2 linked regions of the Arabidopsis thaliana genome follow. The protein of the gene in region 1 interacts with the protein of each later gene in a biochemical or structural test. Each region holds a gene or a part of one and is shown on either strand. Other genes may lie near its edges.

The links.
Region 2: the proteins of UGT75B1 (region 1) and ROP1 form a complex in vitro, tested with the Arabidopsis thaliana proteins (one study listed by BioGRID).

What each region holds. Positions count from the first base shown.
Region 1 is NC_003070.9:1,644,529-1,649,562, forward strand, and holds UGT75B1 (UDP-glucosyltransferase 75B1), read right to left. Parts: upstream 2,908-5,034; 5' UTR 2,706-2,907; coding exon 1,146-2,705; 3' UTR 772-1,145; downstream 1-771. Other genes in the region: CALS1 (callose synthase 1), read right to left, coding at 3,352-3,600, 3,699-3,884, 3,971-4,021, 4,098-4,898, 5,003-5,034. UniProt on the Arabidopsis thaliana protein: Possesses low catalytic activity on indole-3-acetic acid (IAA) in vitro. May transfer UDP-glucose from sucrose synthase to callose synthase for the synthesis of callose at the forming cell plate during cytokinesis. Has high affinity for 4-aminobenzoate.
Region 2 is NC_003074.8:19,041,235-19,044,893, reverse strand, and holds ROP1 (RHO-related protein from plants 1), read right to left. Parts: upstream 2,037-3,659; 5' UTR 1,698-2,036; coding exon 1,599-1,697; intron 1,509-1,598; coding exon 1,421-1,508; intron 1,330-1,420; coding exon 1,220-1,329; intron 1,137-1,219; coding exon 1,073-1,136; intron 993-1,072; coding exon 862-992; intron 781-861; coding exon 679-780; 3' UTR 501-678; downstream 1-500. Other genes in the region: VPS35C (VPS35 homolog C), read left to right, coding at 47-260; AT3G51290 (pyridoxal-phosphate-dependent serine hydroxymethyltransferase, putative (DUF632)), read right to left, coding at 679-780, 862-992, 1,073-1,136, 1,220-1,329, 1,421-1,508, 2,478-3,231, 3,321-3,544. UniProt on the Arabidopsis thaliana protein: May be involved in cell polarity control during the actin-dependent tip growth of pollen tubes. May regulate callose synthase 1 (CALS1) activity through the interaction with UGT1.

The sequences.
Region 1 (5,034 bases):
GTTGATGGGGAGAAAGAGAAGAAGTGAACTTGTAAATGTAAAAATCCTCAAATAAATAAAACGGACCCACATTCTCTGTAAATGTAATTTAAGGACTATGATCAAGACAAAGTTATACACTTTAACCAAAATAAAATAAAATCTTTATTATTATGCTTTATTTCTAATGCATCAAATGTTTTATTTTTCTAAATAAATATATTGTATAATAATATAAATGCTGTAACGTTTTTGAAAATATCTGATTCTTTTTACTTTGCTTTATAAGGGAGGTCTAAGTAGGGTGCCAAACACAAAAAGATCTAAACATTAAATCAAAATTGCCAAAAAAAACAATAGACTTGATCCAAATTTGGATATTTAGACATTTATTTGGATCATAAAGACTGCAACAACTCAGTGGTTCATTGGATTCCTTCTTGTTTCCTAAATTAAACTTGTTATGTTTGTGATCAAGTAAATGCTTGTGTTGTGTTGTGTGTTTTATTGAGTTTATTGCTTGTGTACATTTCGAGTTTTTTTAGAGTGTATGTCAAGTTATTCAAGAATACACATTTTTCAAAATTTGAAATTTTAGATCCTCAATTTTTAGATCCACCATTGGGCTGTCTCAAAACTAATAAACACTGAAAGTGTCTAAATTTTTGATTTTCCAATATTAAAATTATAAATTATGTTTGGATCCAACCATTAAGGATGGTCTAAGCGTCTAAATACATTTAGGACTAATTCTAGTCATAATTATTTCTAAATATCTTGGACCTTTCTATTTGGCAAGGCTGAGTGGTTTTTTTTCTGTCAAAAGGTTTTGATTTTTGTAATAGAAAATTACAATAGGGCCGAAAGCCCAACAAGAAAACAAAACGAAAAGAGATGGCCCAATCACAATACGGGCTCGCCTGAAACCTAATCGGAAGAACAACGGAGGTAGAAAATGGCTAAACGCCCATCGATCGAACACGCTTGCTTGGAGAGTCTCAAAAAGGTGATTCAATCAAACATGTTTTGTAATTGACCATTATTCAAAAAACATATTTATCTAGATGGAGTAAATTTTATGTTTTAATTGAATTTGATATTACAAAGTGACAGTATTAGCAAATAACACTCCGCCACTTCTAGACACCAACTCTTTTGTCCTTTATTTACTTTACTTTTACCTCCTCTGCTTCACACAAGTTTTGAATAAGAGATTCTCCACAAATATCCTCCACAAAAGCCTCCATGTTCTTATCCGAAGATCCTCCTTCTCTACCCGCTTCCATCGCTAAACGCTTCCATTTCTTTGCGTTTTCCCTCAACTCCACCGACTTCTCCTCCATCACGGCTTCCAAACACCTCCTGATCTCTCCTCTCTCCACCAAACCATCCTTGTTCTCTCTTACCCTCACACCAGTCTTCCAACTTTCTTCCAGTAGCTTCGCGTTCGTCGGTTGATCCGACCACATCGGAAACGCCACAACCGGAACGCCAAGAACCAAACTCTCCAGCGTCGAGCTCCACCCACAATGAGTCACAAAACAACCTACGGCTCGGTGACTTAAAACCTCTATCTGCGAACACCACGACACAATCATCCCAACCTCTTCAAGCTCGTGTCTGAATCCAGCTATCTTCTCAATCTCTGTCTCTTCTTCTCCTTCTGTTTTCGTTTCTCTGTTGGATTTATCAGTTATAACCCACAAAAACGGTCGTTTCCCTTCTATGAGTGCTCTCGCTAGTTCCTCTATCTGTTTCTTGGACAACTCAACCATTGTTCCAAAGGAAACGTAAATAACAGAGGACTCTGTTTTCGAGTCTAGCCAAAGTGTATAACTACTACTTTGATCTTTAACTGATTTGTTGGTGCTTCCTGAGAAAATCTCCGTGGGAAGTAAAGGACCAACCGCCACCATATCGATATTCGGGAAAGCCGTTAAGGCCTCTGGTTCCAGCGAATCGAAAGTGTTGATGAGAATTTTCGGTTTGGTTTCTTTTATGAGAAACTCCATCATTTCTTGAAACGCATCGTATGCGCCTTTGTTTGTGTTGGAAGGTGTGAGGAAAGATGGAAGATCTCTGATTTCCAGAGAAGACAGATTAGGTAACTCGAAAACGGACTTGTTTCCCATGAAATGAGTGTAATAGATGTTGAAAACCAAAGCCGGTTGGATCCAGAGAAGAGCGGAGGGAAGTTGAAATCTACGTGCTACTTTTGGAGCCCAATTGAGAAGAATCGTGTAGATCAAGCAAGTCACGGGAGAGTCACCATTCTTAGTAGCTTCGATGAAATCCGATAGTGCCTTATCGCCGTTAACCTTGAGATTCACCGACCTTTTCTGACGGTCTTCGTAGGTGGAAATGCCTCCATCGTCGAAACCGTCGGAGAAAGTAAGGAAAGAGAGATTTTCGACTTTGTTGTGGTTTGCGATCATGGAGTTGTGGAAGACGGAGACACAAGTGACGAAAGTGACACGTGCGCCGGTTCTTTTGATGAGCCGACGAGCAAAACGGAGAGATGGGTTCACGTGACCTTGCGCCGGAAACGTTACCAGTAGAAAATGCGGTGGCGCCATTTTTTTTCTACTTGTCTTAGCTCCACTGAAGTGAGTATCAATACAAGAATCTGTGTCTCTCCTTGTGGATATATCTGTGCTTTCATATGTATATATATACATATATATAAATATAGATGAGGAATTGGATTTTGATGTCTGCACATGCATGCGTATTCATCAAACATACGCAAAATTGTACCACATAACTTGTGACGTCTGCGATGACGCTCACTAGATAAACGCTTCATCGTATAAATCCAAACTTGCGGTTGTTTTTTGCAGATTTGATGTTTACATATCAATGAACATACAAACAAAAACAACATATAGACAATTTCATTTCAGTCATATAAAATAAGAGTGAAAAAGAAACAGAGTAATTGCTTTTATTTGAGTTTTATAACTTTTATGATTACCAACTTTCTTTTAGTACTGTAGTTTTTATTTGGAAGAGGAAAAAAAAACAGTATTGCACTATACAAATGTAGAAATAACTAGCAACAGGTAATTGAGACCATTATCAACAATGAATGATTGATTAGTCCTGTCTTTATCATGACCTATGTGGAAAAGTTCAAGTGATATACATTTTCTTTTTGACTTTTAGAATGGAGAACCAATGTTTTCGTCTTCCATATGAAAAAGATACGTCTCATGCACTTTCTATTATAATGGACGCGAACTTATGGAAATGGAAAATAATTAACATATATCTATGAAAGTTACAGGAACTTTCTAACTATAGATTACTTGGGAAGGAAACAATAACAGATAACCATTAAATCTACACATACGCCATTTACATGTGTACATGTCACTCCTTGTTTTTTGAAGACCGGTCTTTTCTTTGACCACCAAGAATACGAGAGATTTGTAGACCTCTACTAAAGGCTTGGTTAAAGAGCATTCTTGTCTGGAACTCAGACACAAAAGGAAACCAGGCCAAAAACGCAACTGGTGTGAACAGAAGCAAGCCCATCACGATCTCGTAGCCTCGAGCTAGCGTCCTAACTGATGACCATATCCCTAGCTGTTGGATCAGAGGCTTACACGCTTGTGCAATCTGACGTGGAGGACAAAACAAAGCAACTGTCACAAAAACCAGACAAAACTGGTATCTTAGATACAAATAGAGGAGTTTGATGGAGGAGAAAGACTTACGAGAAGCATTCCCCATCCAGTTGGCATGAAGGCAAGCATGCAGATGAATAAGTCTTTGATTGTTATCAGAGGAAGTGCGAGGAAAGTTATGAGAATTGCCACAAATGTGAGGAACACAAGACCCTTTATGATTCTGAATAGAAGCTGGAAATTCGTGCTGAATCTTCGCCTTCCAACGCCCAAACCCTGCAATGATCGTTACATAGAAGAAAGCAACACAATGTTAAGATTTGGCAAGAAATTGAAATGTGAATGTGCTTAAAGATTCATACCTTCACAATCAGTAGAATGAATAAGATCACAAACCATGACGCTCCATAAACCTGAAAACAGAGTCATTATCGTTCAATAATCAAGAGTTTCACCATTCACAGGGAAGTAGTTATAAGGTTAGCTTACCCAAAAGCTCTGATTTTTTCCTTTGAAGGTACTGAGATGATACACAAGTCCATATTGAAAGATGAAGAAGCGCAAGGCCAAAAAGATCTCAAGGGTGATACCACGAACCCCTGAATGTCTAAGATGTTCTAACTCTTTCTCCCACCAAGATTCCCAACTCTTCTCAGGAGGGACACCAATTCCTCCTCGGTTATAAATCCATTTGTTCCAGTCTGTCCAGTCATCAACAATCTTTTGCCACTCAAAACCAGACGGATTGAAAAGGAAAGGAGCAAAGAGCCATGTCACCACCATGAACCATATCGAAACAGTGATCAGAATATAAGTAACCACACCCCTATATGATTGACCAAAGATCTGATATACCAGTAGAAGAATCATAAGTTCAATGCCCTTCACAAAGTGACTACGGGAATAGAACCTATAGTTCTCAGCAAATTTCGCGTGGAAGACCACAAACCCTCGACCAGTTCCTCTATACTCTGCGCCTCCATGAAACAATGTCCTTCCGTAGTAATGTGTTTTTGTCCCGAGCTGAAACGTGAAAAAGACGGAAGCAAGTTGTAACTGCATCAGCACAAACTCAATCAATGCATTGTGGAACCCCCTCTCAAGTCCAATCTCCATCATCATAGGCAAAGCCATTAAAAAACCAATCTGCACAAATGATTGAGAAGCAAGAGCTGCCTCAAGAGGCTTATTGTTACGGAAAGCTCGTTGGCTACTCAATCCTTCTTCAAGCCCACTAAGTACTAGATATAACCGTCCATAAAGAAACACATACACCGTAAGCACGGTTAACTGTCAAAACACACAGATAATGGCTTCAGTCTTGAGAAAGAAAAACAAACCTGCCATGTATATATCTAGTGATTGAGAGATAAAAAGGGAGAATCTCAACCTACCATGGTACTGAAGTAGAACCCAATTGTGGTGA
Region 2 (3,659 bases), on another chromosome or scaffold:
CCAGTTGTCACTGCTTTCTCTTAATGGTTTTACGAGTCAAATGCAGGTATCTCTACTTCCTGGAGAAAGGAAACCAACAAGTAACAGGCGATACAATCAAGAGCTTAGCTGAATTAATCAAAAGCGAGACAAAGAAGGTTGAGTCAGGCGCAGAGCCATTCATAAATAGTACTCTACGTTACATCGAGTTTCAGAGACAGCAAGAAGATGGTGGCATGAATGAGAAATACGAGAAAATCAAAATGGAATGGTTTGAATGAATTTATTTCTTGCATTCTGTTAGGCAAATCATCAATAATCAATGGCTTCTCGTCTTGTTGCAGAAGCATGAAGAGTAATCTTGAGAAATAAAACTTGTATCATTACTTTTCATTTCCTAGTTACACTCTCTACCAATAAACATGTTTGCAAAGTTTAAAACAGTAACATACAAAATATGGTCAGCTGAAGAAATGGTGGGAATGAAAACTGATTCAAAACATGTGGTGTTTGTGTGGAATTATGCATAGGACTGAATCGTAGAAGCAAAAGAAACGTTGATTCCGACAAACTCCATTAATATTAAGAACAAAAAGGACCAGTCAAACTTGGGTGTCTGTCCATTAACACATTGATTCATTCATTGTTAGAAGATTAATATACCAAAACCAAATACATAAAAACAGAGATTTCCAATCATCATAGAATGGAGCATGCCTTCTGCGCTTTGCTCTTCTTCTTCTTCTGCTTTGGCGGTTGCAACACCACTCGGATGGCTGCGTCAAACACCGCCTTCACATTCTGCACTCTCACATCATCAACATTAGCATTAACATTAACATTAGAAATCTGCAACAAGGGTATATATACTAATCTACGTACCTCTTGAGTTTTGGAACTGCATTCGATGTAAGTAGGTGCTCCTATTTGCTTCCTCAGCTCCTCTCCCTGAGCAGTAGTAATCGGAACAGCACCAGGATGGTCGATAAAGAACTGTTTATCATCTCGAAGATCTGGAGAGCAAAAACACAAACTCAGTCACAACTAATAAAGTAAAAGGAGCGAGATCAGGAAAAAACAATGGAAAACTCACCAAGCTTTGTTCCAACAAGGACGATGGGGACACCAGGCGCGTAATGTTTCAACTCCGGGATCCACTGCAAACACAATTTGTGACAAGAGTTCAAAAAATGTGACGAAAACTCAATAATATGAAACAAGATTGATGGATTTTTAAAACCTTTTTGGAGACGTTTTCATAACTGGCTTTACTGATAAGAGAGAAGGCCAAAATGAAAACATCTGCTCCACGGTAACTCAGTGGTCTTAATCTATTGTAATCCTCTTGCCCTGTTTATTCATACCCAAATTTTCAAAATCTTCAGATCCAAAAACCATATTCCAAATTTCAAACACCAAGATATATAGGAAAATGAAAAACCTGCAGTGTCCCACAATCCAAGATTCACAGTGCTTCCATTAACCACAACATTGGCACTGAAATTATCGAAAACGGTAGGCACATAATCCTGTATATCCACAAAAGAAACAAGAAACATGAGATATGTTGTTGTTGTGGTAATGAAACAAGAAACATGAAAGAATAATTGGGACATAACCGTAGGGAAAGTGTTGCTTGTGTAAGAAATCAACAAACAAGTTTTTCCGACAGCTCCATCACCAACCGTCACGCACTTTACGAACCTCGAAGCGCTCATTTCCCCTCAAAGTTTATTAATTTCAGGGAAATTTATAAAAAAAAAGATCTCAAAGATTTAGCCTTTGGAATTGGAGACTCTTGATATTTCTATTGATCGACCATCTGGGCATTGCGGATTCGAAACGATTGGAGTTTGTCCCAGAGATTAGAAACCCTATTACCCAAAAAGATAGAGGGGAAACAAAAAAAATGAAAACTGGAAGATGGCACAAAAACCGAAAAAAAACAAAGAGTTAGTTAGAGTTAGCTTTGGCCGGGAAAAATGGCGTTGAAACGTTCCGCTAACCAAACTTGTCTTTCTATTTCCGATTATTGTGGATTTCCTCTTTTAATAGCTCCCAACTAATCAAAATTACCAATCGATTGTGTGTTTATTTATGGGAAATCAAATTAGGCACTTGTCTTTTTCTGCCGCTCAAACGAATCATCTCTCTTTTCTTCTGTTACGTACACATCACGAGTGTTTGATTATCATTAAACTTGCTTACTTCTTTAAGCAATCCCCTTAACTACCTCACTAACTAACTAACTAACACTTCTCCAATGTTAATAATACCTTGGTAGGTCACCTTCCAATGATTTGACTTGGCTAAGAAGTAGTTGAATTGATGAAGTTTCAAGCAGTGATTCAATGAAAAGTCATTTAACCAATTTCATTTCGAAAACAGCATAAACTCAACCTAACATTCAACCAAAAGATTAGCTTGGATCAAGCAAAAACAGAGAGCAAATGGTAAAACAATTTGTCTTTCTCTCTTTAAGGAAGCAACCTCTTAACCTCCTCTTGATCCTCACCGATGCTCTTAGCTTGGTTGTACACAGACTCAAAGGCTTGCATACACACACTTGAAAACCCAACCATTGCCTGAAAGACATGAGGGAAACCCATCTGCAAGTTATTTAGAGTCATGGCTCTAGTCACACTCACTGACTTCTCATGCTTACTTTTCTCTTCTTCTGCTTTTCCTTTTAGCATCTCAACCTTTACTCTCTTCTCTATCACCGGGTTCTTTTTCCTACTCTCAGGTACCGAGTATGGACTATACTTGCTCTCAAGCGCTCTCAGCGAAGCCGATTTCTTCTCGAAATCTTTTAACATGGATTCTGTTCTCTTCTTTTGCTTATGCTCGTCGGCTTGTTGAGCCACAATTCCATGGACTGCTGTCAGAAAGCTTTTGATCCCTTCAGATGCTACTTTATCAGGGATCCTGTCAATAGCTAAATGCCATTCCTCGCAGAAGCTGTAGATCTTTGACTCGTAGCTACTCCTAACAAGTGGATTCTTGCTGAACTGGAACAGACTTAACCTGAGCCAGCCCGTGAGAGATTGTATGTAGTCACGTTGGGCCTTGACCAAGTTGCAGAAAGAGTGATGCCATTGTTGGACCTCGAGCTCAAGCTGAAGAGTTGATTGTCGGTGAAGCTCAGATGTTGGTTCAGTGGAGGGGATGGTGTTAAGGTACTTAAGCTGCTGCACAATATGGGTTTGAACCTGGTGGCTCTCGTACATACTCCTCCACATACACATTAGCCTACATTACATTCATACAAGAACCTTGTTCACATTGACCAACATAAGATACTTTAGGTTAATGAAGCAATGGGAATGCACAAAACAAACCCTTTAACAAGCTCGACAAGCTGAGGGTAAAGCTCGGTCTCTCTGAGCTTGATGATCTCGTTAGAGGCGCTTTGGATGGCTTGTGAAGATACTGAGAGCTGAGATTCTAACTTCTCGACGTCTTTCTTAGCCTTCTCAGTCTTGACATACTCAGCTCTCTTCATCTCAAGCCTCCTCACTTGCTCCACTTTCTTCTCATGATCCATCTTTATGCTCTCTGCATACTGCAACAAAACCCACATTCAAAAAACAACAAACACTCACTCACTACTTGGCAAGATATTTGTGCCAGTGTACATAACACATTATTCATCAGAATTAAGTACACACGTGGGTCTC